Oreochromis niloticus: one gene and its partners. The main gene of each other region encodes a partner of the protein of the gene in region 2 in a complex. Links are inferred from orthologs where the notes say so. Each region holds a gene or a part of one and is shown on either strand. Other genes may lie near its edges. The genes, in order: cript, rbm48, sf3b5 and rbmx2.

What was found.
Region 1: rbm48 (region 2) and cript share a complex: the UniProt entries of both Homo sapiens proteins name them as parts of the minor spliceosome. The link is inferred for Oreochromis niloticus from reciprocal best matches to the Homo sapiens genes RBM48 and CRIPT.
Region 3: rbm48 (region 2) and sf3b5 share a complex: the UniProt entries of both Homo sapiens proteins name them as parts of the minor spliceosome. The link is inferred for Oreochromis niloticus from reciprocal best matches to the Homo sapiens genes RBM48 and SF3B5.
Region 4: rbm48 (region 2) and rbmx2 share a complex: the UniProt entries of both Homo sapiens proteins name them as parts of the minor spliceosome. The link is inferred for Oreochromis niloticus from reciprocal best matches to the Homo sapiens genes RBM48 and RBMX2.

Annotation. Positions count from the first base shown.
Region 1 is NC_031973.2:10,624,300-10,632,103, reverse strand, and holds the start of cript (cysteine-rich PDZ-binding protein), read right to left. Parts: upstream 3,213-7,804; 5' UTR 3,077-3,212; coding exon 3,061-3,076; intron 2,891-3,060; exon of another isoform or gene 2,813-2,890; coding exon 2,747-2,812; intron 1-2,746. Other genes in the region: pigf (phosphatidylinositol-glycan biosynthesis class F protein), read left to right, coding at 4,912-5,139, 5,774-5,865, 6,256-6,372, 6,479-6,587. UniProt on the Homo sapiens protein: As a component of the minor spliceosome, involved in the splicing of U12-type introns in pre-mRNAs. Involved in the cytoskeletal anchoring of DLG4 in excitatory synapses.
Region 2 is NC_031985.2:22,586,913-22,594,282, forward strand, and holds rbm48 (RNA-binding protein 48), read right to left. Parts: upstream 2,404-7,370; 5' UTR 2,378-2,403; coding exon 2,249-2,377; intron 2,159-2,248; coding exon of another isoform or gene 2,087-2,158; exon of another isoform or gene 2,032-2,086; intron 1,999-2,031; coding exon 1,808-1,998; intron 1,726-1,807; coding exon 1,580-1,725; intron 1,382-1,579; coding exon 852-1,381; intron 756-851; coding exon 693-755; 3' UTR 590-692; downstream 1-589. Other genes in the region: clxn (calaxin), read left to right, coding at 47-198, 333-437, 525-575; peroxisomal ATPase PEX1, read left to right, coding at 2,630-2,737, 3,928-4,074, 4,175-4,258, 4,410-4,524, 4,676-5,361, 5,477-5,596, 5,740-5,860, 6,031-6,137 and 5 more. UniProt on the Homo sapiens protein: As a component of the minor spliceosome, involved in the splicing of U12-type introns in pre-mRNAs.
Region 3 is NC_031978.2:12,069,968-12,077,997, reverse strand, and holds the start of sf3b5 (splicing factor 3B subunit 5), read right to left. Parts: upstream 3,295-8,030; 5' UTR 3,143-3,294; intron 406-3,142; 5' UTR 380-405; coding exon 119-379; 3' UTR 1-118. UniProt on the Homo sapiens protein: Component of the 17S U2 SnRNP complex of the spliceosome, a large ribonucleoprotein complex that removes introns from transcribed pre-mRNAs.
Region 4 is NC_031975.2:31,901,468-31,909,348, forward strand, and holds the start of rbmx2 (RNA-binding motif protein, X-linked 2), read right to left. Parts: upstream 3,114-7,881; 5' UTR 2,969-3,113; coding exon 2,964-2,968; intron 1,744-2,963; coding exon 1,628-1,743; intron 578-1,627; coding exon 526-577; intron 438-525; coding exon 308-437; intron 1-307. Other genes in the region: ap4m1 (AP-4 complex subunit mu-1), read left to right, coding at 4,336-4,393, 4,596-4,681, 5,111-5,217, 5,358-5,454, 5,876-5,986, 7,235-7,312, 7,840-7,881. UniProt on the Homo sapiens protein: Involved in pre-mRNA splicing as component of the activated spliceosome. As a component of the minor spliceosome, involved in the splicing of U12-type introns in pre-mRNAs.

The DNA of each region.
Region 1 (7,804 bases), on a different chromosome or scaffold from region 2:
TGAATGCTCCAGACAGGCAAACTGCTAAAACCTATGCTTTTATAGAGATGCTCACACTTGTTGATGATCAAACCAAAACTAAATGGATTTGATTATCAGTACCTGAATGCTACCTACCCTCTTAATTCCCTAGTTTTTTACAGGATTGCAGGATTGTAGTAAAGGAATAAATTATGCAGAACTGACATTTTTCTTTGTGCTTCTGTGCTTTTGCACAGGAAAGATGAGCGAGGTTATTGGTAATGTCAGCCATGTGCTAACTGTCTAATTTTACTTATACTGCACGGTGTTTGGCCAAAAAAAAGTTGTTTAGCCCGTGCAACAGGGACAGTGATTGATTAATGTACTGTGATCCACTCTCAGATCCTGTTTAGGTAGCTGTTTGGGGAGTTTATTTCCCACTTCCAATATGAAGAGAAAGGTTATACAAGCCAGGAAGCACTGGATCTCAGTTAACCGTTCTCATAGAGCAATGATTGATATCAGCTAAGTGGGTAAAAATCTTTATTCTTTCCTTTCATGTTTTTTTCTGTAATTACTAGTAACGGATGCTAATAAGATGCTTTCTTGAGAGTAGCTTTACATTAAAAGTTATAGCCTTATAGTTATAGCCTTCATCAAGTCCTCAGTGCTTAGGCTCAGTGGAGTTCACCTTACAATAACAACACATTTGCTCTGTGTGATTAGCACATCATAGCTGCAGATCTCAGGCCATCTATCAGTGTTTTCCTAACCACTTATCCAACTGTCATAGCGTGAGAGACACGGTACAGCAAACACAGCCAACACAGAGAGACAACTTTTCACTCTCAAATCCACATCTACAACTGATTTATAGTCAACCTAACAAGCATGTTATCATACTGTGGAAGACACATCAGCTCCCAGAAGAAGTTTGAACCCAGAACCTTCTTGTAGTGTGGTGACAGTGCTAACCACTGTACCACACTAATCTCAGGGCAAACCCGGTATTTCCTTGTTTCTCACTTCAGCAGCACTTATATAAACAATTAATGGTTAAAGAGTGTCATCTAGTGGTAAGAATTTAGTTGAAGTTTACTTTAAGAGTTAAATTCTAAAAATTGGACTAAAATGAGAACTTTTAAAGTTCATAGAGTCACATTATAACATGTATAAATGTTTAAAACATATTCAACCATTTAAAAAAGTTTACTTGCTAATCTCATGATACATCAGTGCAGTTCTTTATATGTCTGCTATGCCCTCCGATTGTTTGGCCACTTCATGAAAGACAGCTGCTCTCGCCTGTCTTTGTTGCAGTTCTCCCACACCTGACTGCCAGAGCCGTACGGGATTATGCTTGTTTGTAAAATCCATGTAATTAGCTCCAGCAGCAAGTGCCCCTTTGCATTTAGTCACCAAGCTAAGAGATGCATGTTGATTCAGGATTACTTATAGTGATCTTGGGAGTTGAACTGTGGCAAACCTGTGGGACCTGCTCTGTTCTGTTGTGTTTGGTTAAACTTGTCTGTATGTTAGCAGAAGCTTTTGTGGCCAGGCAGGGAGCGTAGGCTTTGTATTTGTGCTTTGACATGTAACTTGGTGCTTCTTTTCTTTTTTAGCAATAAAAATAAGTAGTTTTTTTTCTGTTTACTTTATTATTGTAAATTGATTGTAAATAAATGCCTTGTTTGTTCGACAATCTTGTATGAATGTTTGTGATTTGGTCTGCTGGTATGTTATGTTGTACTCCATGCCCTCCATAAACTGCAGATAAAAGCCCTTTAGATATGCAAGTCAGAGATGATTGTAGGCTTATATTCTTGAGTTACTATCACTGGTTTTAAAGAAAAGAAAAGAAAAGAAAAGAAAAGAAAAGAAAAGAAAATTGGATATCAGGTCATCTCCAAAGTACATGTATGTACATTGTGAATAATAGTAATAGTAATTTTGGACTTTAAATTATTTCTTTCAACTGTTCCTTTTCCAAGGGAATAATTGTACAGAACACATCTTGAATGACTTTAAAAAAACAAACAAAAAAACAAAAACAAGAATTGGGTGCACAGGTTTGGATTTTCTATAATCCACACAGGGTCAAAAGTATACATACAGGATCAAAAATATACACACACTATCATAAGTTTTTCATTAAATGGTGCTGAATGTTCTACAATGTATTTTAACCTGACAAGGCCAAAACTTCTTAACTCCTCCTCAGTGATCATGATTGACTACAACTGGTAGTTTCGCTTTGCTAACACAAAAATAATTTGTTTTACAACACTCATTGGAGTCATCAATACTCAGAACAATAGGAAAGTCAAAAGAACTCGGTGAAGATCTAAAAAGCAGAACTGTAGATTTACAAAATTAGGTACTTTTCTTGGAGCAATTTTAAACAACTGTGGACTCCAAAATCGTCAGTTCAAACAACTGTATGTAAATACAAACTACTTACATGTGCTACCACTTTGCCAAGGTTTGAATGAGGACGGAAACGAGGAATCACCAAGGCACAAGATTGGTCATGAACTAGAAACTTTTCGAACACCATCGTTCATTTGAAGTGACTTTTATACTGCAAAGGACTGGTGGTAGCATAATGCTGCCAGTGATACTGGTAGACTGCATAAGGTGGATGGAATCAAATAAGGAGCCAGAACTATGCCACAAACCATATTCTTATTTTTCTTTTGTTTGTTTTAAGTCATTCAAGCAGCCCTTGCACACTGGTGACATTATGCCATTGAACTGAAACAAATCCAGATTTTACTCTGTTCACCTGTTGTATTCCGGGCTCCATCCTTCCAGGTGTCAGGAGTGATGACCTTACCGAGCTTCTTCTCACCTGGAGATAAAAAGCAACGCAGCATATGTAACAAAAGCAACGCAGTGGATTTAAAGGAAATAAGCCTAGAAGGTGAAGGTATGTTTTCCTGAACCAAAACAACAGTGAGGACAGTAATAACAACAGTTAGCATCACATAGCGTTAGCCAGCTTTCTAAGGATCATCGAGCTTCTCTTAACGGGAAAAAAGACATTAGAATTGAAGATCTAAAATAAATTAAGTGATAGGAGAATGGCGAGATACCTACACTTTTCACAAACCATTGTCCTTCTTTGTTTGTTAAAATAGAAGCAGAAGCGTTAGCTGCGTTTAGCTTTCTCTGTTAATGTAAACTTCCGGTCGTTACTTCCGTTTCCTTGCAGCTCGCAAACGATTGATTGGTTAAAGCCTAGATTTCAAATCTCAGATGCCATTGGTTAGCTTTACTGCGCTTCGGCGAGGGTCCAAGTAACCCGTTCTGTGATTGGTTGCAGTTTCCCCTGTTCATCTGTAAAGTGGACGAAAACCTGTAAGTTTTCTTTAAAAATTAAAAGTTTGCTGCTGCATTATTTCACACGTGTGAATATAACGTGTGAAATATAACGTATGAAATACGTGTGAAATAATTAAATCCAATAAATAATAATAAAAAACTTTTAAAGCTTACAAACAGTAGGCGACTATAGCAGTCAGGCAGAGATAGTTTAAAGAACACTGAAGAATCTCATTTTTCTATTTCCCGTCAGAATAACGTTATAGCAGTGAAAGTAGAAAAAGAATGGCCCTCACTGATAAATAGTGGTTCACATCTAGCTACATGTGACAGTGTTCACATGTTCTGATTAAATAGGGAAACTGATTAAATAAAGGATTATGTTCAAACAAGTATACCACAAACATACAATTTGTTTTCAACAAAAAAAAAATCTGTGGTAAAAGTGGCTTAAAACAAAATCCACAATAATAATAAAATGAACGGTGGTTTATGGATGTAGTAAAGGAGGATAGGGTGGAGAGGGTTGGTGTGACAGATGAGCAGGGTAGTGGTAGGATGAGATGGAGGCAGATGATCCACAGACCCATAAAGGGAGCAGCTGAGAGATCTGAAAATGGATTAGAAAATGTTCTACACAAATATAAAAACACAAAAGTCTCAATGACTCCTTTGTCACTTTGGATTGAATTACACTGGACCAATTGCATTGGCCCAGGTCTCACATGTGAAAGATGAGAAAAGCCCATCTCCCACCAACCATTCTCACCACCTACTACAGAGGGAGTATCGAGAGCATCCTGAGCAGCTGCATGACTGTCTGGTATGGAAACTGCACCGTGTTAGATCGCAAGACCATACAGCGTAAAGTGAGAACAGCTGAGAAGATCACTGGAGCCTGTCTTCCCTCCAACACAGACACTTATTGAATCAACTGCATCCACAAACCCACCAGCATTGTGGAGGACCCCACACACCCCTCACACACACTCTTCACCCTCCTGCTTTCTGGTAAGACATACCGAAGCACTCACGCCCTCAGTGCCAGACTACAAAACAGTTTCTTCCTCCAAGCTGTCAGACTCCTGAATACTCAGAGACAAGACTGACACACCCACACACCTTTATACATTCCATTACCTCAAGTACTTATTGCACAATGCTAAAGTCTTTTTGTAAAACTATTGCACCATCTTGTGTCTGTATGGTTCTGCTCTATCTGGTGTCGCACTGTTTTTTGCCATTTTTGCACACTTGCACTTTAATTAGTCCTGTGTTGATTTACTGTTATATGTAGCACCATGGTCTTGGATGAAAGCTTTTTCGTTTCACTGTGGCAGCAACAAATGTATACTAAATGCATGGCTGTCTGTAATATATTTAAAGTTGTTAAAACTATAATGTACTTTTATTGAACTTTGTCTTGCCTCATCTACAAGGAATAAGTATTGTACTTTTATTTTGAAGTGAAAGCGGAAGTGAGCATGGTTCCATGTTTACGGAAACAAGGTCAAGCGATTCATCTATGGATGTTACCTGTGCTACAAATCCAGCGTTACGTTGAGGTTTAAAGTGTTTTGTGTTCAATTTGTCGGTGTCCTGTTGTAGTTCGCTACAGCCTTCACAATGTGGGACCATGAAATCAGAGCCATGGCGTCCACTCACGCTATCATCGCCGCTTCGGTGTTCATGGCGACGGTGCTACCTGCTGTGCTCGTACCGGGCTTCTCGGTGTACGGCACACACCTGCTGTGGCTCTACTCGGTGTCCGCTGCGGTCACCGCGGTCAGCGTGGCCGTGTTCTGGCTGCTCGGGATCACACCGCCCGCCAAGAAGCACACGCTGGGATACAAGGTGCTGATAACGCTTTAATAATGATGGAGTGATGTGTGCAGTGCCACATGGGCTGTTTTATTTTTTTTAAAAGTGCAATCAATGCAGTTTTTAAAAGAGGGTTTCATTTGTTAAGGGGGGAAAGCGATCCAAACCGACCTGGCCCTATGTGAAACACTAATTGCCCCATTCAAATTTTGTCTTGCTAGTCCACAGAATATTTTCCCAAAATTCTAAGGGGATCAATAAGATGCTGTTTGGCAAATATGAGACAAGCTTTTGTTTTAAATTTGGTCAGCAGTGGTTTTGTCCTTGGAACTCTTCCATGGATGCCATTTTTGCCCAGTCTTTGTGTGTGGTTTGTGGATTGTGGTGTAATGTGTTGCTCTTAGACTACTCCACTTTGTCAGACAGACTCTGTTCAAGTGATATTTTAATTCAACACGTCTGGCAGTAATCAGGCCAGGGTATGGCAAGTAAAATTAAAGTTGCCTTTCCAAAAAAAGAAAAACATCTTGACTTATTTGTATATAAATTAATGTGAATACTTGACTCTTGCATGTTCATCAAACCAAGATCTTTTTTCCCAGGAAGTGATCTTTTTATATCTGGATCTTAAAGGTTTGACTGTTTTCTCGCTGTTTTTTTTCTGCAGCTGTCGAGGTTGCTTCGCTCCTGCCTGTACTTCTTCCTGTCGTGCCTGTTCTTCCACACTGTTGTTGTCTTATACGGAGCTCCACTGATCGAGTGAGTTGTTGTTTTTGCTCGTGTTTACATGTATGTGTTTAACAGAGGTTGATAAAGAGAGACGCAGAGAGCAGAGATCGCCACAGTAATACACAATAAACTAAGGATCCATGGAAGGATCACACATAAATGAATGAAAACAGCAGGCAACTACAGAAATCTTCAAACCCTGAAATGATTCTGTCACTTATAAAAAGTCAAGTGAACTGAATTTCCCAGAGGAACCCACCCGAGGGATTAATAAAGTTTCATCTAATCTAATCTAAAGTGTTTTACTTTGTCTCTGCTTGCTTTTTTATGTGCTTTTTTTTTTTTAAACAAAAAACAAAACTGTCAATAACGCTCTTATTGTAGTTGTCGTTGATACCGTGAACCTATCATTTCTTACAGATCTGCCTTAGAAACATTCTCCCTTGCTGTGCTGCTGACTTCGTTAACCACGCTGAGGTGTCTCTGTGTCCTCGGCCCCAACGTCCAGGCCTGGATACGAGTCTTCAGTCGCCACGGGTAAGGCTGAAATCATTTTCCTTCTTTTTCTTTCCTCCTGGCTTTTCACATGACTCTGTGTTGAAGATAGTAACTGTTCTTGCTTTTTCTTTGTCTCTGGCTCCAGAGCTATGTCTGTGTGGGACACCTGTCTGCAGATCACTGTGGCCTGCACACTTGTTGGAGCCTGGGTCGGAGCATTCCCCATACCTCTGGACTGGGATAGGCCCTGGCAGGTAATTCTATGCATGGACAAAGCGTATACTCTTGGATTTGTATCCTCACATTAGGTCTTATACAGTCTAGCATGTGACTTTTTTATGTTTAGGCTCCTTTTTCATTAAATTACATGCTGCAGTTTAATAAACGGGTTCCTGATATTTCCTCTACACACATTCATTTCATTTAGATAAAAATAACCCAAGAACTGGCTCAGTCAGTAGTCTGGCTGTGGCACTTTGTAAGCAAATTAGCTGGCAATGAAGGTACATTCAGTACTTTTTCTTTCCCCAAGTGTCGACGCAGCAGATGGATCTACGTGTTTAATTTGGCACAGAGTTTGTGCCAGATGCCCTTCCTGACACAACCTTCACATTTATCTGAGCTTGTGACCCCGAGGCTGGGTTTGTGTCTTCTGGTCTGAAACCAGGGATCTTTTCCATCCCTGGTTTAATTTGTTAACCACTAAAGCACGGAGAATCAAATGTCAATTTTAAATTTTTTTTGCAAATAAAATGAATATTTCTTGCTTTGGAAGAGAGAGTCTGACTAAATCTCTAATCCACTGTATGTAGAAATGTTCTCTATCCACAGTGGAGTTTTTGCTCTTAAGACAGGGAACTAACACGACCATTTAAACCATATTACCCGCGAAGCCTCTCTTAGATTTTTCTGAGGTTTTCTCAAATGACTGCTGGATTCACAAAGGCCTCTTAACTGCATGGACTTGTAAATTACTGGTTTCATTTTGATGAATGGAGGAGGTGGATGTCCTTGTGTTTTCATTATTCCGTTAAAAATACCTTTAAAATGACCTTAAATGGGTACTTTTCTGCTTTGTTAGTTGGTGAGTAGCAAAAGTGTTGTAGAAGGGGAGAAAAGGAAGAGAAAACAGTAAAAAAATTGGAATACACGTGTATTAATAGCAGCAACATCAGGCTGATGTGCTGTAGTGACAGAAGTAAAGATTGTCTTTCAAAAGCAGGAATGAAATGATAGGTTGCTATGGTGATATATAACACAAGTGTGCCAGAGGATGATACTGGGCACTAACCTGCATGAAGCCGGTGTGGTAGCTGTCAGAGTGAAAAAGCTGGTGTAAATTACACATTTTTTTTTTGTAGTTGATTTAAGTTGTTAACTTCCAAATTCTCCATCACGATGATTTTTTTTTTTTAAGCACTGGACAGAGTAATCAGCCAATGAATAATGAATTAGATTGTTTTTTTAATGG
Region 2 (7,370 bases):
GTAGCTTTATCTACCTAAAAAAATCCCTGTGTTTGGCATGGCTCAGACTGCTTCACTGTGTACGACCTGAATGGTGACAACGCCATCTCTAGAGAGGAGATGCTTCATATGCTGAAGGGCAGGCTCATCAGACAACCCAATGAGGAGGACCCTGACGAAGGAATCAAAGACCTGGTGGAGATCATACTGAAGAAGATGGTGAGCTGTTTGCTGCACAGATATAACTGTTTACACATGATTTAAAAACAAAAAACAAACCCAAAACACTATTTAAAAAATTCTTAGGTCTGTAAATAGTTTACCAGCTCTGCCAACGGTGCTTCCTCCCACAGGACTATGACCATGATGGCAAATTGTCTTTTGAAGATTTTGAAAAGGCTGTGAAAGATGAAAACCTATTGCTGGAAGCTTTTGGAACCTGCCTTCCTGACTTCAGGGTAATCTGTAATGAGAAGCTTCTAAGCTCTTTAAATTTCCCCATCAAAAATTCTCAATCTTACAGTCTGCTTTTCTTATTTTTTCAGAGAATCGAGATGTTTGAGGGACGCGTATTTCAGGAACAAATGGAACAATAAACAAATCACATAACTCCATACCCAGCCTAAACATCTTTAATATTAACCTCAATGGCAGATGGTCCTGTGATGCAAAATTTTTTAATAAAAAATAAATAAATAAAAAGTCCTGCTCTATCAAATCCGACGGCGTGGTTTGACCTTCTTCTCCACTGGTTTGATGTCTGGACTCGATGTCACCTAGGAGAGACGATGAAACTGGTTTAACTGATTTAGATCATAGTGAAAATATTATTTTGTCCTTAACTACAACCAAAACAATATAATCACATGTACCTGCTTCATTGTGTTCCTGATCAGGCTGACAGTTGTGTTCAGTGACTCATCCTCCATGTCCAGTTTGGATGGTTCTGGTAGTTTTGGTCCAATCAAAGGCTCATTCTGCCCAGAAACAGTACTGGAGGGCTCCTCAGCCTCTTCCATTTTGCGTTTCCGTTTCTCCAAGTGTGTGGTCCGAGGAAGAAATCTGACTGCCGCAGCCTGATGTGCTGCCTGTCTGCTCAATAAGGTCTGTTTGCTCCTTGAACTCCCTTCTCGCTGCTCGAATGTGCCAGCACAGGTATTGTGTAAAGTCCCCATTTTATCCTCTGTCGGTAAATGTTGACTTTTAGGCCTATGGTAATGATGTTTTTGGGGAGGTAATGGCAGTGGAGGAAAGCCTAAATAGTGGCTGACGTTTGAAGTCTCCCTTGTATTGTCATTTCCAGAGGTCTGTTTGTGTGTGAGGATGTTGTCATCTGACATGGTAGTTGTTTCTGATGAAGAAGGCTCCTCTTGTGTGTCCTCTTTCTGTTCCCTTTCTCTCACTTTGCAATAATAAAATGAGACAGAAAAAAAAGTTTAGAAATCCCCATCATTCAAAAAGATCCGAGTCAAATTAAAATAAAAGTGCAAAAGGGAAATGGTGGAAATTGTTTGCTTGGACTAATGAGGAACTAAGATGTTTCTCATTGGAGTGGTCGTTTTTGTGAGGCAAAATATAACCTATAGATATAAAATTATACCTCTCTTCTGAGCAGCCCGGATGACATAGCTCCTCCGGTCCTGCAGCTTGAGCCTGGTGTCTTCCACAGTCTCGTATTCGGGGACGTAGCACACATGCAGCACACCACCATAGAAACTTTTCTCATCCATGCGTCGCTTTGCTGCTCTGAAACAAAACCAAATTATTCAGAAGGTCCTTCAGACTTTGCAAGTTAGGCATAATGAACAGTCTAAGTTACATCTTGTACCTGGCACTTGTGAGTTTTTGGAACTTTACGAGGTAGACCTCTGTGAACTCCTCGGCAGGATACTCGTCCAGGGGCCTGTACTCCTCCACAGCTCCATAAAGGGCACACAGCTGAATCAACTCAGTCATAACCCCAATCGCTGGGACTCCTTGGACCATCAGGTAACGACTCTCTAAATTTATGGTGTAAACCTGCAAATAATGCAACACTTGACTGCGGTACACTGATGGAAAAATGCTCATGTGAAAACTGCGAATAGTGGTTATATTTATCATCTAGATGTGGTCAAGGCTCTCACTGTGGTTCACTGGAGTCCATAAAATCCGGGAGCAGATGTTTTTTAACAACACTGTAAGTGGCGTTCCCACGTAGCAGGGGGTGTCTCACACCTTAAGATACGCTCTTTTGGTCAAATATTTCTAAACAGAAGCGTCTTCTTACCTTAACTGCTTTGGCTTTTCTTCCTTCCCTATATTTTGGTCGAGAAATGCACACTCTCCGCTGTTCGTGATGTTTGTAAACCTCCGGGACTCTCCAACAGCCAGAGCTGTTGTTGACGGGAGCCGCCATGTTTGTGGAAATGAACTTTTCACTTGATGCATTTCAAAATAAAGGTTCATTTTCATGTTGAATAGGATTCATTCAAAGCATGGCGTCGTTGGATGTCTTATTCTGAAATGCGTTCAACCGAATATCGGCTACTCTGGTCTGGCCTGGCCCACACAGAGCACATCGATCGACTATGAGTTTGTCACACACTTGATGTTAGCGGTGCAGCTTGCTTGACGCGTTGAACGCGAAATAGAAAACTATGTGAAAATCATGTTTAGCAATCAGGGCATTCAACCCGTAACGGTCACTTTTAACAACGCAAAAAACTGCTTTTTACACCTTCCCTTGAAGCTAATATCACAGCTTTCCCTGAACGAGGTAAGATAGCCTAGCTAACCACCTAGCACTATCGTTTAGGTAAAATTAGTAGAAGCTTTGTTGACTTAAACCATTTTTAGCTAAAATGTTGGCCCGTTCTGTGTGTTGTTCTATTCTTTTATTTTTTAACAAAATTAATGCTGCTGTAAATTAATTTTCGAGACCCTTTGACAGTTATTCACATTACAAAATAAAATGTGACTTCAGCCTCGCGTCAGGCTGCTCTTTAGACCAAATGAATTTGAAAGATCAGTTTTTCATGACTCCATTCACTCCACTTCGGCCCGGCTGGAAACATGCTCTGAATATAGATAGAAGAGGAGCTGAGTCAAACACAATACTTCAGCATATGGAGAGAGAGGGTAGTTAGCAATTGGTATTTCAGTATTTGTTTCCTTCTCGGTGGAGCTGTTTTCGTAGCAGTTCCTTTACGGTTTCACTTGGTGGAGGCAAAGGACTGTGTTAGAAATGAATCCGGGGTCTAAGGGTATTTTTTAAATGACTTTTCTAGCTTGTGTCCTGTTCGCTGTTATGAATGAACAGTGGTTTTCTGATGAGAGCTTTCTGTTTATATTTGCACTTTTTTGGCTGACAGGAATTCCTGTTTCGTGGCTTTCTCTCCTTGAGTTTGACCTTTAATTACAAAGGATTCAGAACTGGGTTAACCCTGTCATTATTAGTCTAAACTGTGTAAAATGGATTGAGTGAGGAGGATTTGTTTTCTCAAGCATGGTTGCAAGCAAGGATGATGGTCATGGTATAGTCTGGGTAAACAAAAGGTGCTTCAGCAAACATGCAGTCATGTGAAAAACAAAGTACACCCCTTGATTCAGTAAAGTTGGTACAACCACCTTTAGCAGCACTAAATTGAAGTAACCATTTTATTTATGTCTTTATTAGTGTCTCGCAGTGTTGTGGAGAAACTTTGTCCCACTCTACTTCACAGTGTTTGCATGAATTTTTTTATGCACAGCTCTCTTTAGACCCTGCATTTCAATCAGGCTGAGGTCTGGACTTTGACTGGGCCATTGCAACACACTGATTCCTTTCCTTTACAGCCACTCTGTTGTAGATTTGCTGCTCTAATTTGGGGTCATTGCCAAGTTGCATGGGATGCAACTTGGCAATGACTTTAGAATACTTTTGTATACAGTGGCATTCACAGTCAACCCATTTACGGTCTTTTTCAGAACCAGCCTCTGGAGTTGTCCTGTGGTCATGGGCCTCCAGTGTTCCTCACCTGGACTCAAAACAGAGCCAGCTCTAGCCTGGACAGCCACAAAGTGGAGCTGTGTCGGCAGCTAGGAGAGAAGCAGGGCCTGACAGATGGAGAGCAGGTAGAGTCCCTCCGTGAGGAATCTGTTCTTCGCTGTATTTACAGAAGAAGCTAATTTTGGACTTACTAGTTGTTTGGTTTACTGGCTTGTTTTCCCTCAGGGCTTCTTAAGGCCATGTCATCAGGTCTCATCATTGGATCGGGTGTTTGTGGAGCCTGTATCAGCTGATGACTGGGAAATCCTGGTGGGTAATTTAGTTACATACAGTGTGTGAAACTTGTCTTCATACAATTTGCACTATTTTACACACTCTAATAACTACAAGGTGACTTCTCCTTTTTAAAGCACTCTTAAGAAGTATTAATATATCACTTTTGTGTGACTGACATCGCCAGGAGCTCCACAGTTCTGCACTGGAGCTGCAACTACTGGATCAGATCAGAGTAGTTTTCCAAGATGCCGTGTTTCCTGTGTGGGTGGACAACCACACGGTAATCTTTATCCGAATAGGTCAGTTTTGATACAATTATTCTGTTATATGTTGTTTATCAAATAACATGTTACACAGAAATATTGCAGTTATAATGGTTTGCCTGCTCAACTTCATTTTTAAATGTTTGACTTATATAATACAGTTTAATTTTTTTTAAATTCTGCACAGCTTCACTTTCTCCACGTGTGCCCTACGGTCGCCTGGAGCAGTTCACAGAACTTGTTGTGTCCCCGAAGATCCGCGCAGAAACTGGCACCCACACACATTCTCAACTAAAAGCCAACCCAAACTCAGAAAGTTTTCACAGACAGCCAAACATGGATTTCTCCTCCCCTTCAGGACCATCATCAGAAAGTACCTCCTCCACCTCTAACAGCCACCAGTGGGGTGGCATAGCAGACCTGAAAAGCCTTTTTCATCACATGATAAAGGGCGCTTATGACCCAGTTAAGGAACAACCGCCTTTACCTGAAATCCCCGCTCTCCTTACGGACTCTCTGTACAGAGTGTGCGGTTCACCTCCCCACTCTCTCAGCACTATAAGCCACGTTGCAACTAATGCTATTCACATCTTTCCTTGGAGCCACAGTTTCAATGCCAGGCTGAGTGAAGGTCACTCCTCAATTACATATGGCCTTCTCTCCAAAGTCCCATCCCCCAAAGAAATGAGGGACAGAACCAAGCAGGCAATGGAGAAAAAGAAGAAGCCAAGAGTTACTAAGGAGACTGCTACACCTGAAGGAGAGGAGGTGAAGGAAGAGGAGGCCATGGTGGTTAGGGCAGTGTGCCATTGTACCGAGCTGTTTGGATGCAAGGAAAGAAGCAAGGGAGAGATTCACAGTGGAAGAGTATGGGTGAGTATGGTGTCTGAAGAGGAGAATATATAGTTTATAAACAGTATTTTAGCTATACCGCAGTGCCCTAGTTCTTTCTGTTTTGGTTAAAATTTTTGTATCTTTCATTTTTTAGATTCCAGAGCCTCTGGCCAGCAGGCTGAATATCCCTGCCCATTCAACAGTAAGAATTAAGTCAGTGAAATCAGCTATCAAAGTAGCTTCTACTATTTGCCTACAACCCCTAAATCCACTGGTGAGTGCTGGAATGTACATCTGCGTTACAGTGTCGGATGTAAATGAAGTACAAGGACATATAATTTGATCAGAATTGCAGAAAATCTGTTCAGCTTCTTTCCTTTCTGTCCATCTGATTTTTTTTGACATTTTTCTCTTCAGCCTGAGGAGGATGATGAGGAGATCCAGACAGCTTTCCTTGGTTGGCTGCACACACAGAGTCACGAACCTTTAGCCTGTCTGACAGCACGGTCTGGCACCATCCTCCTACATGGAACTGATGGTGATTCATTCCTGCACTTCCGTTACAAGCCAAAGAAGTGTATTTATAAATCATGTACAGACAGATTTGCATATGGCTATGTAAGGTTAAAAAAAGGGGTAATAATAAATATCTTAAATTAGCTTTTTTTTAAAAAATAATGTCCCTTCACTTTTTATTCTTTTCCATAGCAAAGCTAGAGTTTGCTTTAACTGTGCTGAAACCAGAACCACAGACTGAAGCTTCAGATCAGCTGTTTCTTCTAGCACCCACAGTTATCCAGAAGAAAGACATACAGGTATCACCATGCAAATGGAGAATTATATATCTGTGTCTTTAAACAGTTTATATGTAAACCGATTGCTTCATGCAGTTTTTATTAAAAAATTCAACACGTTTTTAAGAGAAAAAAAAAGTCTTTGAAGTTGTTCACAGTTATGTCTTTTTCTCATCTTCAGGTAGACAGAGAGCCAGTAACCACCCCAGCTGTGAAGCCTGGAGCTGAAACACCCCACCCAGAACTTCCCTCTCTTAGTATTCTTGGGTACGTCTTTTGCTAATTCAGTACAAATGCATGATTTAAGCAGGCGATTCTTTCTCCATCAGTCTCACTCATGTTTGTTTGTTTTTTTTCCCAGTGGGATGGATGAGCTTTGTAGAACTGGGTTTGAGTTTATCTCCCATAGCCTTCTGGGTAGTCCCCTCTCGAGAGAGCTGTGTGCCACTGGTCGGGGACTTCAAGGTGGAGCTCTTCTCATCACTGGTGCCAAGGTATCTCTTTACTTAACATTTAAGTTAACTACTATTGCTAACACAACGGCTGTCAGTATAATTAATTAACATAAGATAAATTGATATTTAATAGCGTTGATGTTTGTTTGGTTTTTATGGCAGCTTAAGCTCACTGGAGAACACTTATTAACCAGTATTGTTTTGTTAAGTCTGCAACATGTTGTGCTGTGACTTCTCTCTGCAGGGGAGTGGGAAGAGCACTCTATCCCAAGCCTTCTGCAGGAAAGCTAGAGAAGAGCTGGATGCACACGTTGAAGTGGTAGACTGCAAAAAGCTACAAGGTCAAGAAAGACTTCATGAATATTTGCTGTCTGAATGGAAAAGAAAGATAAAATTGAACTTAATATAAAAAAATTGTTTTCTTTTTAGGCAAAAGGGTAGAAACTGTGAGACAGAATCTGATGGACATTTTTGAACAGGCAGAGTGGAGGCAGCCCTCTGTTGTTCTACTTGATGACCTGGATCATTTGACGCGGGCACCAGCCTCACCTGAACATGAACACGGCCCGGAGGCACTGCTTCAGCAGCACATTGCTCAAAGTAAAATATTTTCTTACCTGTGGGAATGTCTTTTGACAGACAGGATCGATAATCATTTCCTGCTTTGATGAGTAATGTTGTCTCACTGTGGCTGCAGGCCTGCAGGATGTGGTGGATGAGGTGATGCTTCACTCTAGCCTGGTGTGTCTGATCATTACCAGCCAGAGTGAACACTCCCTCCATCCCTCTCTGACGGAGG
Region 3 (8,030 bases), on a different chromosome or scaffold from region 2:
CTTCTATAAGTAGACAAGGAATCCAGTGATGGTGGAGTCAAACAAGGACGAAGTAGCAGTTTTAGTTGGAAATTTTTTGTTTCTGACAAAAAGCACCCACTGCTCACTCCAGTGTGATCTAGGCATCATCAGGTTTATCTGCTGGTGGTCCACATGGCTGAAGCATCTTCTCCATCAGGTTGAAACGAACACGCGCTTTGCTCTCGTTCTCAGCTACAGCAAAGTAGTTCAGCAGGTCAAAATGTCCCATGTAGGAGCAGTAGGAATCACGATGCTGATTGACCAGCCATTCCCACTTGCTGGTGTCGGCGTGTCCTGTGCCAATATACTTTGATTGGAGATGCTCCAGCTGACTGTGGATGTTGTAACGGTCTGTCATTCTTGCTGAAATGAGTCCTGGAGGCTCTAAACAGGGGAAGAGATGAGAAAAAAGTTAGAATACAAATTAGAGATGGCACGATACCACTTTTTTATGTCCGATACCGATACCGATATCATAAATTTGGATATCTGCCGATACCGATATGAATCCGATATAGTGTGTTTTTTAATCAATAAAACTGTTTTTTTAATATCTTGCTGCATTTTGTATAAGTTCATACTCAAGTTTAAATAAACAATAACACTAAAGCTATTCTGTTATACCTGTATGTAAAAAATACACTGCACCCAAAATATTTTATAGTTCAGCAACACTGATCAATCTAATAAACTTAAACCTGCTCCATCCTTCCTATTCTGGTATTTTAAAGAGTACTTAGCAGAAATATTAAGCAACCTAACTAATAGGGTTGCAAACTCCCAGCAAAAAAAAATAGGGAACCACCCCCCATCCTCCACCTCATGATGCTTAATCGATGTAATCAACTTTAATTTGATGCAGGGTGAAAAAAAATGCACAGAATTAAATTATTTTTCAAGAATAATTAAATAGATTCAACATCTTTCTTCAACAGAATTGCAGACTGCACAGATGGTACCTTCCCAAAGGAAAAAGTACTATAGCTTACTAGAGTATATTAGACTTAACAGTTACTATATACAGAAATGGACTTCTATACATTTTACATCAGATTAAAACTTTGGGTGTAAGATTCAGATAATTATTTATTAAAAGCTAGACATTTTAAATGAGAATAAGAAAGAAAAGTATGTCTTTGTGCCCCCTTTTCCCTGTTCATGCCCTATCGGCCCCCCTGGCTAAACTTTGCTAGATCCGCCCCTGCACAGTTACCAGCCGTCAGCTAAAAGGATCCTGGTGTAGAAAGTAATATTAAATAAAAATTCTAACAGCAGCTTATCAAGTTTAAACGTGCTGCTGTTGTTCAGCCGCTGGTTTCCTCTTTCTGGTGCAAAGTGGGCCAAAAACAAAGAAGAGAGACGGACTCCCGACAGAAAAGCCGATCAGCTGATCGTTAAGCAGTTTCACGATTGAAGTAGCGGCAGGAAGGTGAGGGAGGGAGAGAGGCAGTCGCTCCATATATCGGTTGTTAAGCTTAACATGGGAACGCTTTACAAACATTCAGAGATGAACTTACACACTTGCTTTACTTCTCTCTGGGATAACTTTCTCAGAGATGAAATGCTGGTTTGGTAGTGAGGCTACAAATACACACAGCCGCTCTATCAGTGAGGCATACTGCTCCGACGTGCTACGGTTATGAGCCGAGTTACACCCTGTCGCAAGTTTTGTGAGGTGTTTTTTTTAATATTTAATGTATCGGATTACATTTTTAATTTCTCACCGATATCCGATCCAGTAATTTACGTCAGTATCGGACCGATACCGATACGTAATATCGGATCGGTCCATCTCTAATACAAATACAAAATAAATAAATAAAAATAAATATGGACCACACAATGAGATAACAGGCTAAAAACTTTAAGATGGGCTATTAATCAAAGTCTGTATTCAATTAGAACTATCTTTTACAGACTGAAAAAAAAAAAAAGACTACGACTGTGCTGTTTGTCTTTTAACAAAAGGCGAGGGTTCATATTTTGTCCTATTCTATAAATCCAGTGAATCCCCTTCCTTTGCACTGGCACAATTTTGCCCCTCACTAAACACCCAGTGTTCCCTTCAGGTTTTGGCAGGTCAGCTCAACCAAAAATGATATAAAGAGAGAGTTTTTTGGTCATCAAAAAGAAAACCAATTCATATGTTTGGAATACCTTTGACTGAAAAAAGTGACAAAGAACAAGAAATAAATTGTCTTCATTGTTTAAAAAGCTCAAAAGTCTTACCAGGTTAAAGAATTGCAACCTTAATACTGAGCAAAAATAACCTTGATTATTGTGTTACAGTATTTTTATCCCTTATCCCACATATTGAGACTGTGTCCCACATTTTCACTGGCTCTGGTTTTCCCAAATACAACACAGACACTTTTCTAAGGTCTGGTTTTTATCCAGTGGTTGTTAAGAAATAGGAAAAGGCTGTCACCACAGATGAAGTGCAGGTAAAGGTCCGATTTAGACTTCTGTGGGCATTCTGCGTCTACGACACAACTTACGTAAGTCGCCGACCTTGTTGCTGTCATTTATACTTGTGAATTTTGTTTTAGTAACAGAGTGGTCGTGTTCTGATGTTTTATATTTATTGCCAGCCATTGTAGAAACAAAGACTCATTTTCTTTACCAGCCGTTGTTCTTCTGAGTAAAGTCACATACCGAAGGCTGATTGATTCGGAGCCAAAATAACCATCTATTGTAAGCCGTTTAAGGCTTATAAGTACAGGGACCCAAGAATGAAACGCTATCTAACAGCAACAGCACATGCGGACATCACAAGAAACGTGCAGCTAAAAAGGAGACGCAAGTTCAGTCATGTAACCTCAATATTTTTCTTGTATTTTGTATTTACGAGTCTAGCAATGCCACAACAAATGTTAACCCGAAATGAATGATTATAATAGTTTGAAGCAATTTACATTTTATTTAAATTTAAAGTAAAGACATTTCTATGTAAACAGAGAAATTAACCGGTTTTTGTTTTCCTGCTAATGCTAATGTGAGGCTAATTAGCCATTGTTAGCCTATTCACCGTATCTGTAAACCGCTCTCTAAATGTTCCTTTTAAAGTTAATATAATAACTAGGAAGACAGATTTTAAGTTTAAAATACAACGGATACTTACATAAAATGTCAGGAATTCAAACACGAAGGTAGGAGATGTAAATAAATTACACGACTGTCTCCACCTCAACACAGCACCACGGAGCGATCACTTCCGGTTGGTTCGCCCAGTAAAATGAACCGGAAAGGAACATAGACTGTAAACTCTGCGTTTCTCGTGTAGATCCTAAATCTTAATTATATATATATGTGCATAGTATTGTAATGTATTAGTAATACACACAAGTACGAAGGTGCAATGCATCACTTAACACTGACAAAAAAACTGTTGTTCTCTTAACCCGCAGTTAATTATATAATTAAGGAAATACAGAGAATAACAATCAATCAATCAATCAAACATCAAAACGAGCGGCTCGTTCGCGACCTGTGTGCTTCTATTCGGATTTTTGAAATTTTGTACAGTATGTGAGGCAACGTTTATTTTACAACAAATAAACTGAGGGGCACTGGCTCAGAATCACATGTTGTGCAGTTACAAACAAATGAAAACATCTGCTTATCATAAGTTTAAGCCTAACATTTAGTATGTAGGGAATAGTAAATAATGTGCACATTTGCGATATAATGTGCGCGCGCGCGCACACACACAATTAATATTATATAATAACAATAATCAGTCATATAAATAGCATAATTCCAGATTTTGATCAACATCATATTCAGCCACAGCCTGATATGGAAAAAAGACAGAAGCCTATTAACCGTACATACAGACTGACTGGATGTGTCACCATATAACAAACTCTCTCCTTTATTCCTCATTCAATTCTTTCCAGTGATCACTTTTATAGGAACTCTGACCATATTTGTTTTGCTCAGGTACATAGGTTGGAAGAATGGTGCTAAATCTTGTCATTTGTTGATTAATGTCAACAAAATGAAAGATCTTGTGTTGAATTACACAAGCCCCATTACAGTCTTTCACTTTCTGGTCAGTCTGTGGAAGTCATTAATAGCTTATATATATATGCTAACATATATTGATGACAAGGTTAATATTATGGTTAATGTTGACCCCATTTACAAGAAACCTAATCATTGTTTCTTATTAGGATGTTAAGGGACTTTGGAATTAACCACGATGTTTATGTCACTTTGATTGAAAACATCATTACGTCCAATATTTCAATAACCTGACTGTGGCAATTTAAGAACAAACCACATTATTTTCAGAATCAAATTATTGGTCAACATCAAATTAAACTGGATAAACTGTGTCATCAGTCTGTTTTGAGGAAAGCCCGGTCTATTATTGCTGACCATGACCTCCCTCTCTATTCTGATTTTGAATTAATGCCTTCAAAACGACATTATAGGACACCTCCAGGTATAGAGGTGTATAAGGGAGGATTTGTGCCAAGAGCAATTGATATACTGAATAATGAGATGCTGTGATGTGTTTTTATTATTGTATTGAAGTGTTGTATATGTATATGTATGAATGTGGGTTCATTTGAAGCAACTTGGTGAAACAAAGGCAATTTTCCATGGATTTGGTTAATAAAGCTATTCTATTCTATTTGATCATATAGACTGGGCTCTAGGGCACGGACACCTTTGCTAGAATGTCAGCGATGTAGTAGCTCATCCACCTCATGATCCATCATAATACAGAGGTTATTGTATTGTGTGAGGTGGAGAAAGAAAGTTTTGTTGTTACTGGCTGGCTTTATTGCAGAAACTCATGAGAATTGAAATCCACTGAGAAGTCAAGCAGGCTTGTAAACAGTCAGATCCAGGACAAATTAATGTCATTTCACTAAAACTGGACCTCCAGGAGAAACAGTAATTCTTGTGAAAATGGAAAAATGTCCATAAAACAACAACTGTAACCTTGACATTGACAATGAGAACAGTTTCAGTGAAGAACCATCAGGTGATCACTGTGTTTCACTAAATTCTGACCAATAGTTCAATTCAGTTTAATTCAGTTCAACCCAATTCAGTTTATTTATGTCATACCAGGACATCTGTCTCTCAAATAGTCGAATGGGAGCAGTGATTCTTGTGAATTGTGGGAGTGAAGGATAACAGGCGCCTTGCCATTCCATAGGCTCATTAGCTGTTTGACCCAATTAGCTCAAAATGTGTCTGTCTCTGTTTGTGTTGCCTGTTTTCTGTTAAACTGCCAAATTTGTCTGTATGATGTTCTGTGGCTAGGTGCAAAGCAGTAATAACTTAACCACAGACATTAGCGTTATGGCACTCATGGGTAGGATGATGGGCAATATTCTTGGCTCAACATTTAATTTTGAGCCAAAATCACCACATTTCTGAAATGTTTACTTATATTTTGTGAATAGTTAGGCTCTATTGTCTTTAGATGTTATCTAAAGAGAATAGACTAGTGTGCCAATACATGTGGCACAATAGTGCATGGTTTGCCTCACGGCAAGAAGGATTTTTGAATCCAGTCTGGGGCTGTTTTTGTGTAGAGTTTGTATGTTCTCACTGTGTGGGTTCCTCCCACAGTCCCAAAATAAACATGGAGTTAAGTATACTGGTGTATAGCTGCAGTGCTAATTTTTTTAACACAGTTTTGGAAATAAATTTGGGAGCTGCTGTTTTATGCTGATATTTGGACAACTAAAAACTCAGGGTAAGGTTTAGGGTCATCTCTACAAGTTGCTGACTCTAACTGACATTCCTTGGACTTTGGTGCCTGTGTTACTGCTGTTTTATTCCTGGAATGTTAGTATTTAGTCACAATGGTATTGGACACTTTAAATTTTTGACCTGACAATAAATGCATACATTTTATGAATACATAACAGGCTGGAATTCATCCCAAGGGCAGTGTGAATGCCATTAGGGTCCCAACTAAAGAAACACAAAGGAAATAAATGTTGAGACTTCTGGTATCAGTAGCATTCAGATCATTTTCTGGGAGCCATGAAGGTCTAGTAAAAACTATTACTACATCTACTATAACATTTTACTGTCTGGCTGAACATTGTAAAATGTTTCTTTGGGGAAAACAATTTAAATCCAACATTTCTACAGAAACTATGAGTACATGACTCCTCTGCTTCATTAATTTTAATAGTTTTTGTGCATCTCGTAGACTGTGTTCATCTCTAAGGCGCGATAACAGGAAGATGTGCATTGAGGTTACCCGAAGGTAATTTTAATTTTTGCAAAAGCATTCTCCTGAGAGTTATATTTATTTTTATTACCAAACTTATTTTCAGTCCCAACCCTTTTAAGATAACATATTGCACTTTGGATGATTACCTGAATTTTGCATGTTCTTTATATTAACTGTTTGGTTGGTTGTTTATAGAGCCGAGTCATCTCTTTATTACTGTTCAGAGACCGCTGTGGTTATCTGGGTAGCTGCAAAAGATTGTGTTTGCTGGCTTTACCCAAGAATGTTTCTGCTTTTGATCCCAGGAGCCGTATATGCAGCAACGAGTTGGAATTCTGCAACATTTAGAAATAACTAGAAATCTGGAAGAAATCACTGGAAAAACAGAATAGTGCCATCAAAGTTACATTCCTATGATGTGTCAGATCAGATCAGTATATAGATACACAAAAGCATTTTCCATGTTTTAGGACCATTTCATTAAGGTTTATTTTTACATTTGATTAAACTACAGAAGACAACATATCACATTGAATTATGTCCCATGAGGACTGCTCTTCACTATCAACAGTCTAGCTCACTCGTTCTGTAGAAAAATATCTGATGAAAATAACGTGGCATGATGGATTATAGCAATAAAACAGGAAGGTGCATTTATCAAACTGCACCCCAGGGATGATATTCTCAGCAGCACATCCCGGCAGAAACCACTGGTACGGAAAACAAAGCTGGGTGACACCTTAGCTGTGGGGGAGATGGGATGTTGTTTACATTGCTTGTGGCTTTGCATATAACAGAGAAGCATGCAGAGTTTAGTGCAGCTGAAGGATAAAAACTCTCCAGCCTCTTGAGACTCTAATCCCTCAGTATGAGCTGAATGCAAAATAAGTGCAGCGGACTGTTAAAAGGGTTTGGCAACAATGTGAATAAAGGCACGATTATTATGCTCAGTCTTCTGGTCTCCACTTGAAGGTGCAACAGTGAGATAGAAGGTGTAGAAAAATAGGTGCCGCTAATAAAGCCTGTTAAATTATGCTTCTGCTCTACATTTCCCAGTTAAATTCCAGTCTGTAGCACTCTGATGTTCAGTATTCAACAGTTTTCATAACCTGCACTGCATTTTAAGTGGACAACATACTACTGAATATATATATATAAAAAAACTTTGTCTGCAAAAAAGAACAGAATTTAATAGAAATGGTAAAGAGGTAAGGGTTAGGGTTTTATTTTTTTAAATTATTATTATCTTTTTTGATTGGCTGGCAGAGTGGTGCAGTGGTTAGCACTGTCCCCTCACAACAAGAAGGTCCTGGGTTTGAATCCATTCTGTGGTCTTTCAGTGTGGAGTTTGCATGTTGGACAGGTAGAAGAAGACAGGTGGATAACAGACTTGTGTTACCAGAGGATAAACTATAAACTTAGACTGCAATAAATATGAGACATATGTGCCATAATTATAATAAACTTTGATCTTAAAAAATGAATTGACAAGCAAAGCAATCATTCATTTGACTTGTCTGATCTTGATATGTGTAAGAAAATGCAGTGAAGGTTTTTCTAGCCTCAGTCCAAGTCACTGAAGGTTTTCATATCAAACTTCCTCTTCATGTGTGAATTTCAGAAGTGCTGGAATGATTTTTTGTATTAGGGTCTGGTTATAGAGCAAACCTGCACAATTGAAGTAGTGTTGAAAGTTTCTTTGTAGCTGGTATTACAACATCTGCTGAAGAGCCCTTAATAAAAGTCCTGAAGTGTGTAACTGTCTTGCAATGTGTGGAAGAAAAGGTCATGTATTTAT
Region 4 (7,881 bases), on a different chromosome or scaffold from region 2:
TATTTGTTTAATATGTGCATTGAAGGACATGTCCTGGTCAAAAATGACTCCAAGATTTCTTAAATAATTACACTGTAGTTTAACTTTATTTGTGTCATCTGGTGGCTGGATAAATATTGCTGGGTATCATCTGCATATCAATGAAAACAGATGTAGTGTTTTCCCATATAACACAAACAGTATTATTTGAAGCACAGGACCCTGTGGACATCCATGACTGATGTTTGTGTTAACAGCAACAAACTGTAATCTATGAGACAGATGAGATTTAGATCAGTGCAGCAGACAGCAGAGTCTGTCGTGTCACCTTAATGCCATTGAAGTTGTCCACAGCCAAGATGGTGCTCCTCTGGTCCTCATAGCAGATAAAACAGAAACCTTTGGACTTTCCAGTCTTCTTGTCACGCACCAGGTTGATGTTGACGATTTCTCCATACCTGACAGGTTCAAGGAGAAAAGCAAAGTGAATCACGGTGCTCCCTCTACTCTGTGAGTAGTGTAGTTAAGAAATGATGAGATACATACTGAGAGAAGACACAGATCAGGTCTCCTTCAGTCAGCTCGTATGGAAACCCTCCTGCAGGAAACAAAACATCCAAAACGCTGTTTATTTATTCTCCAAAAACCCTTCATTACTTCATCACTAATGTCAGTAACATTAACACTGCAACAACACAAAACATTTAGTTTTGTGTTGTTGTGTGCATCCAGTAGATGCACACAACAACACTGCTATTTCCAGTAAAAATGTCTTTATTAAAGCTGAAGTAAAGGTAATGTAATGATTCACGTTATTTGATGTAAAATGAATATTTCCAAAAAGCCAACTCTATCCTATTTTTGGGTAGAAGTTCATCAAACCCTGTACACTCTGTGTGTACTATGAAACAGGATTTGTGGTTTTTAAACTAGCTTCACTTTGGTGTTACAACAGTGGTTCATGTATTACTACCTTAGTAACTTATGCTTATGATGCACAGCTAACCTGCTCCAGAGCATGTGATGTTCAAGATTTTAGATCAGCAGGTAGGAACTCACGATCACCTGACCAATTAAATCTCTGAACAATAGCTTCACCATTGCTGGAATCACTCAGAGTACAGATTTTAAGGCGGTATGAGGGTTATTGTATTACATTTTAAGTGGGAATTTTCAACACAGAGTACACGATCCGAGATGTCTCATGGATCTTCCAGATTGAGTGAAGTCATTTTCCAGAGATCTGATTGGTCCGTAGGGACCGATTTGATACCTGTCGATCATTTATCTGGAACATGAGAAATATCAATCGATGAAAAACCTCTTGAGCTTACTAATACTTGACATGTGGAGCTTAAGCCAATCAGGAAGAGTCAAAGAGTTTGTGCTGCAGTGACAGCAACTTTGAAGTAGAAATGACAACCAATGGGAGCACAGGAAATCCCTGACTGACCAATGACCTTGGCAGACTGGTGACCACCTGTCAGCTAAGAAGCAAAGGACGGGGAATCAGTCAGTCATGTGAGGATCTAGCTTTACAGAAAATCCTTTACTTCCTCTGAGTTTACATTTTTCCTCAGCTTTCAACTAATGATTATTTTCATTATCTGCTAATCTGTTGATTATTCAGTTTGTCACGCAGTCTCACCAACAAAGATCCAGGCGCTGTCTTTGTACTCGCTATGCCAGGAAACAGACTCGTTGACCCCGAGGCTGGCTTCGCGCTCATTCAGCTCGTTTATCAGCTTTACCTTCGTTAGAGGACTGAAAACACAGAGAGAAAAGAAAGTGTTTCACTGGGAAAGAAAAGTGTTTCCTCTTCAGAATCCTGGTTCATAATCTGTGATTAATGTGTGACAGTCATCTGCTTTAATAATAATAATAATAATACATTTTATTTATAGGCGCCTTTCAGACCCTCAAGGTTACCTTACAGTAGCACATAAACAATACCATAAAAAACATTAAAAAAGATGTATATATAGCAAACATGGTAGATAAAATTTAGACATAAACAATCATAAAAGCAAATATAAAAACTGAGCAATGTAAAAATGGCCTAAGACAGATCAGGTGTATGCAATTCTGAACAGATGGGTTTTGAGTAGTGATTTAAAAGAGGTGAGACAGTGTGTGGTCCGCAGAGCAAGTGGAAGTGCATCCAAAGTCTCGGGGCAGAACAACTAAAGGCTCTGAGTCCCATGGTAGTCAGGCTTTCATCTCTGACAACCCAGCGTTTAAGTTTTTATTTCTGCAAGGCTAAATTTTAGGATTTGGAGAAGAAACATGAGCTTAATCATCTATGAACTTAAAATAACAAGGCAAAAAAATAAAAAGACATCAGCCATAAACAGTAAAATATAAAAGAAATGTCATTTAAAACTAAACATAAGGTACAAACAGAAGTGATTTTTACACCACTGTTTCAAGATATGTGGAGCGTAATGACGTCTGTTTCTACAAACCAAACTCCATTCAGATTAAGACTGATTTAAAGCCCCGTGAACACGCTGACCATACAGGAACGCAACACGGGTGTTTTCACGTTGTGCTCTGTGAAGCTCTGATTCATTTTTATTTTAGTGAGCTAACACACATCCCGCAACGGTAAAGAAAAATACTCCTATGGCCAAAACAGGAGGCGATGATCACCTCGTCAAACTCTCGTCCAAGCTTAATTTTATGCTTTTTTACACTATGCCGAATTGAAATAAGGCTCTTATATGTTTATAATAACCGCAGAGAGTGTGTCTGATTATTTTATGGGGAAAGCTGGTGAAAAATACACATCAAATGCCAGGTTTTCTGTATGGAATCTGGGAGACGAGAATGTACATAAAGAAGTACTCAAACGATCTTCAAGCGTGCGCTTTGGCTAGCAAATAGTCATTTTCGAATGGCTACAATCATTACCGAATAGTTATCATTGATCAGTAAACAATAAAAACTTAGATTAAACGTTTAATAAGAAAATAATTACTTACTTCATGACCAACAACACGGTTTGTAAATTAACGTTGTGCTGAAAATGGCTAATCTCACTGACAGGAACAACTTCCGTTTGAATTCCCGCCCCTGCTGGTGCTGCCCCCTGCTGTTAGGATGTCTTTAAGACAAGCTACATTTACACGGCTAAATAATCTAAACTGTTATTAGTGAAAGTGTAGATACGACTGTATATTGATAGAAAGATTATGTAGCTGTATATAAATATTAAATATTAAATATTAAATATTCCAGTTAAATATTTTAACTGGAATTCCTTGTAAATTATCCTCCTGCACTGCTGGTGGCGCTGTGCGCTAACTGCGAGCTGATGACCCGGTTTGTAAACACTAACCTATCAACTACCCGGATAGCCGGGAGCTAGCTTACAAACGCATTTTTTTTTTAATTTAACCTTTTAACATCTTATTTTTGCTGTTTTGTCAACATTCATCCGTTAATTATGAATGGTTGTCATGGGAATTCGTAGGAGTTAAAATATGCTGGGTTAGCTCACTCGAATTCCCAGTTGGGATCAGTAAATTAGCTTTCCCTGCCAGTCATGGCTTCCTAGGAATACAAAAGGGTTAAAAGAAACCTGAAGTTTTACTTTTTTATTTATTTATTTATTTTTTACATCTGTTTCCCCGGAGGCCATCTGTGGGTGAGTGAATCAGTAACTGTTATTAACCTAAGCTTTACAAAATGAGCGTGAAAAGCTAATTTGCGCATGCTAATCGCTTTAGACTGAGGTCGCTTACAGTTTCCGTCATTTTAAAATATTTTTTCCACTTCCTCTAGCGCATGTACACATTAAAATCACATTTAAGGGTTTCTCGGATTACTTTGGTGCTAAAATCATATTCGGCATAAGAATCATTAGATCTGACTAAGGACGAAAGATTTTATTGTAACCTCAATTATCACCTGGGTGTTTGCATGAGACTTGACTTTTTATTGTCATTCTGCAGTTTCTTGCACAGCGAAGTTGGGTAGCTGGACCACAAAGTTGCAAAAGTAAGAAGAGAAAATAATATACAACGAGGGAAAAATTGAGAAAAGAAAAAATTAAAAGCAATATATATGTATACATATATGTGAGGAGCATGAGGAGCCGTGAGGAGCATGAGGAGCCGTGAGGAAATCAAATCGTGGACCTCGGGTACTTACTTTAAGTCTCCTCTAAAAAAACAGAATAACTTTTTCCTCATTGTACTTGATTTTTAACTCTTTCTTTTTAACTTTTCAGTGTTTTTATTTAGTTACCACTTTCTGTCACTTTATGCCTTTTTTGTTTGCAACATGATAAATTCATATAAGTAAATAAAGACGATTATTATTTTCTCATTTCTCCTGTGTGTCTTCAGCAGGATGATCTCTCAGGTCTTCATCTTGTCCTCGAAGGGGGACCATCTCATTTATAAAGACTGTATCCTTCTGTTCCCACAGCTGAGGACAAATGAAAGCTGTATGAATGGATGTATTAGTCCCCCATTAAATAAACTTTAATTGTAAATTTATTTTGGCAGTGCCAGTCCTCCATACAGTCGGTTATATGGGGACAAATCTGAATCTCAAAATGCGCTTTATTTATTTTGTGTGTAAACATCGACCTTGACCTGACCCACCAGTCCGTGGACAAGCTGGTAACGACATTGTCAGTATTTTCTACGAGAAGGTCACGGCGCTGACCGAGGACCAGCCTCCGGTCGTCATGGTAAATAAATTATGGCTTCTTTTTTATTGAGACACGCATACCTGCTGATTAATGCTCAGGAACATCCAAACACACAAAGTGGAGCTCAGACTTTTTGAAGGGTTTGATTGAACAGTTAACCTCACAGCAGTTAGATTATTGGTCCGTGTGAATGACTCGGACCCCACACGGCGTTCTGGTGGCTGTTTTGGTTCATTTTATTTAGATCCCAATGTTTCCGTGACGTGGTCAGCTTTCCAGCTGCAAAAGCTGTTGCAATGCAGCAACATCTGCACTCTGTCCTGACTCTGTCCAGTCAGCTCATAATTAAAAACATTTAAACCAACAATGAGCAGCTTGTTCTCAGATTTCAGAAGAAGGAATCATTATGTTTGATTTAACAATTACTTTCTCCTCATGTCTGGTTAAACATCTTTTGTTTTCCTGCAGAATCATAAGGATCTTTACTTCCTCCACATCAGGCAGGGAGGACTGTACTGGGTCGCCACGACCACGGTGGGCTCCTCGCCATTCGCCATCATCGAGTTTCTCAACAGGTGTGAGGTCATCCGTAAGCTGAGTGCTTTTATTTGAGGATGGCTGTGACCTCAGACAGTTTGAGGCTCTACACCTGATGGTGTTACAGCTCCTGCTGTCTATGCACACCTGAGCTGACTGAGCATGCTCTGTGTTGCAGGTTAGCAGCTCTGGTTAAAGATTACTGCGGCAGCCTATCAGAGAAGTCGGTGCAGATGAACTTCGCCCTCATCTACGAGCTGCTGGACGAGATCGTGGTGAGTCTCTGTGCTGCCACCTATTTTGCCTTTAATATACGTAAAGATGGACCTAGCCTCAAACCTGCACTCTTTCAGATATCCCCCAGGGGGCAACTCCTCTGGTCTGATTGTGAAGAAGTCTATGTGAATATAAGCATCTGACAGTGAGGTCTGTCGTTTTTCACATCGGACAAACGTATATGAAAGTTTTCCTGTTGGTGTGGAAGTGGAAGCAGTGTGGAGCTCGTTATCTCTCAGGTTTACAGTGAAGAAATAAAAACATGAGCTGTGGGTGGATCAGCGTGTTTTCCTCTTCGTCTGTAGTGCAAATTTAGCACCTCCTGTTCCATCTCTCTTAGAGGGAAACAAGCATTTAGTCACATTTTCTTTTGATGAACCTCTGCTCATGTAAACACCCTCCTCTCCTTCTGTCTGTCAGGACTACGGTTACATCCAGACGATGTCCTCTGACGTCCTGAAGAACTTCATCCAGACCGAAGCTGTCACCTCCAGGCCGTTCAGCCTGTTTGACCTCAGCAACGTCGGCCTGGTACGGTAGCTCCACCTCACTCCACCTGTTCTTGGTTTGTTTTCTTGACATTTAATAACTTCAAGGGGAACCGCAGCCATCTGTCCTCAGGAGGCATCACAGTCACATTTTTCTTTTTCAGATCATTCAAGGTGATTTGGCCCAGAAAAATAAGTACTGTCATAACAACAGGATTAAAAACAGGAGTTTCGGCTGAATCAGGTGTTCAGGACGTTTGCTTCACAGCCAGAAGCTTTGGGCCTTTTTCTAAGGCAGCAGAAAACAAATATGTGAGCCGAGGTCCATTCAGTGCTTTGTAAATCTGCCTTTAGACACTGTCTGGTCTTAGTGAGGCTCTGGATGAGCTGCAGACGATGTTAGAGTCGTCTAACCTGTCAAAGAAAATAATCTGAGCTATGTTTTTAAGGTCAGGCTTCTTGAGTCCATAATGACTCGAGACAACTGCCTGTTTTGTTTTCTTCCTCCAAATTTGAGGGTTTAAGGACGGATTACTCTGTCAGCGCTGGGCTCCTCCTTAAATCTGTGACCTTAAGTCGGTGCACCCAGGGCTGGAAGTTACGGGAAAACGGGTTTGACCTCCTCAGTGCACCACTGTTATCAGCTCTGCTGCTCAATACAAGTTTTTCTCCTCCTCCGTGTCGTCTTCTGTTTCTGAGCGCTCCTGGTTTCCCATCAGCCCCTGTGTCTGGTTTTTGTTAAACATCCAGGGAACGTGTCTGTGCTGTGCCGATAGTAAAGATCCCCAGGAGAAATGTTTGGCTGGTCAAACTTGGCTGTAAAAGTTAATTATGTCTCGTCTTCAGTCTGTTTGACTGTAAGCAGCTCTGTGAGTTAGTAAGGTTGTGCTCATCTGCCGCAAGAAGGCAAGTTTGATTTATCATCCTCACCTTTGTTTTGTAGTAAGAAAAGAGAGTTTATTTGAGAACAGGAGCACCACATTAACAAGATTTACTGAGCAGTGACAACAGCGATGATCAGACACCAGGAGAAACTGAGGGTATTCGTGGTGGAGGTGGGGTGCAAAGCAGCAGGCAGACGGGCCCGGTGTAAAGTTTACTGTTTTAGCTGAAACACTTCTCTGTATGTTTTTGATTTTCAGAGCTAACTGTACTGGAACAGAGACTTCAGAGCCTTCGAGGAGCTTTAATGGATTTTATTTTTAGTTGAAAGTGTTCATTCTGCAGTCAGCTGACAGTCTGCATTCACCGCGTTGTTTACCTTGTTTTTATTTGTTTATTCACGTTGCAGTTTGGAGCAGAAACGCAGCAGAGCAAAGTGGCTCCAAGCTCTGCAGCCACCAGGCCAATCCAGTCCAGCAGAGAGCAGGTAAACCCCCAAACACCTGTGGGAGGGAAACACCTGAGCGAGAAGACGCCGACAGCCTGACAGACGAGTGAAAAACAAGCTGCTCTCGTTTCAAATCTGTGGATGATCTGTGGGCTTGTTTCCCTGGAGTGTGCTTTTATCTTTTAGATAAACAAACCTCAAAAAATGAAGTCGATCTATATTTATATACATGTTTTTGTTTCTGGTGTAAAAATTTTAATTTTCCCAAGAAGATGAGCTGATTAGTTTAAGACAAAGCTTAAAAAATCAACATTCAGAAAACCTAAAGCTGAGGTTGAGGCAGTCGTCGTTTACTGAGATATGAGTTAGTAAAAGTTCAGTTAGGTCAGTTTTTATGGGAACTTTGAGCCATTCGCTCTGTTTTATAACCAGGTTTGGAGATTTGAAACTGACTGTCACATTTCAGTAAATAGTCTGGTCCCAGCTGGACTGAAAACTTGTGTGTGTGTGTGTGTGTGTGTGTGTGTGTGTGTGTGTGTGTGTGTGTGGGCGCGTGTGTTTTCCAGGGAGGGAAGAGCGAGATATTTGTGGACGTGATTGAGAGGATG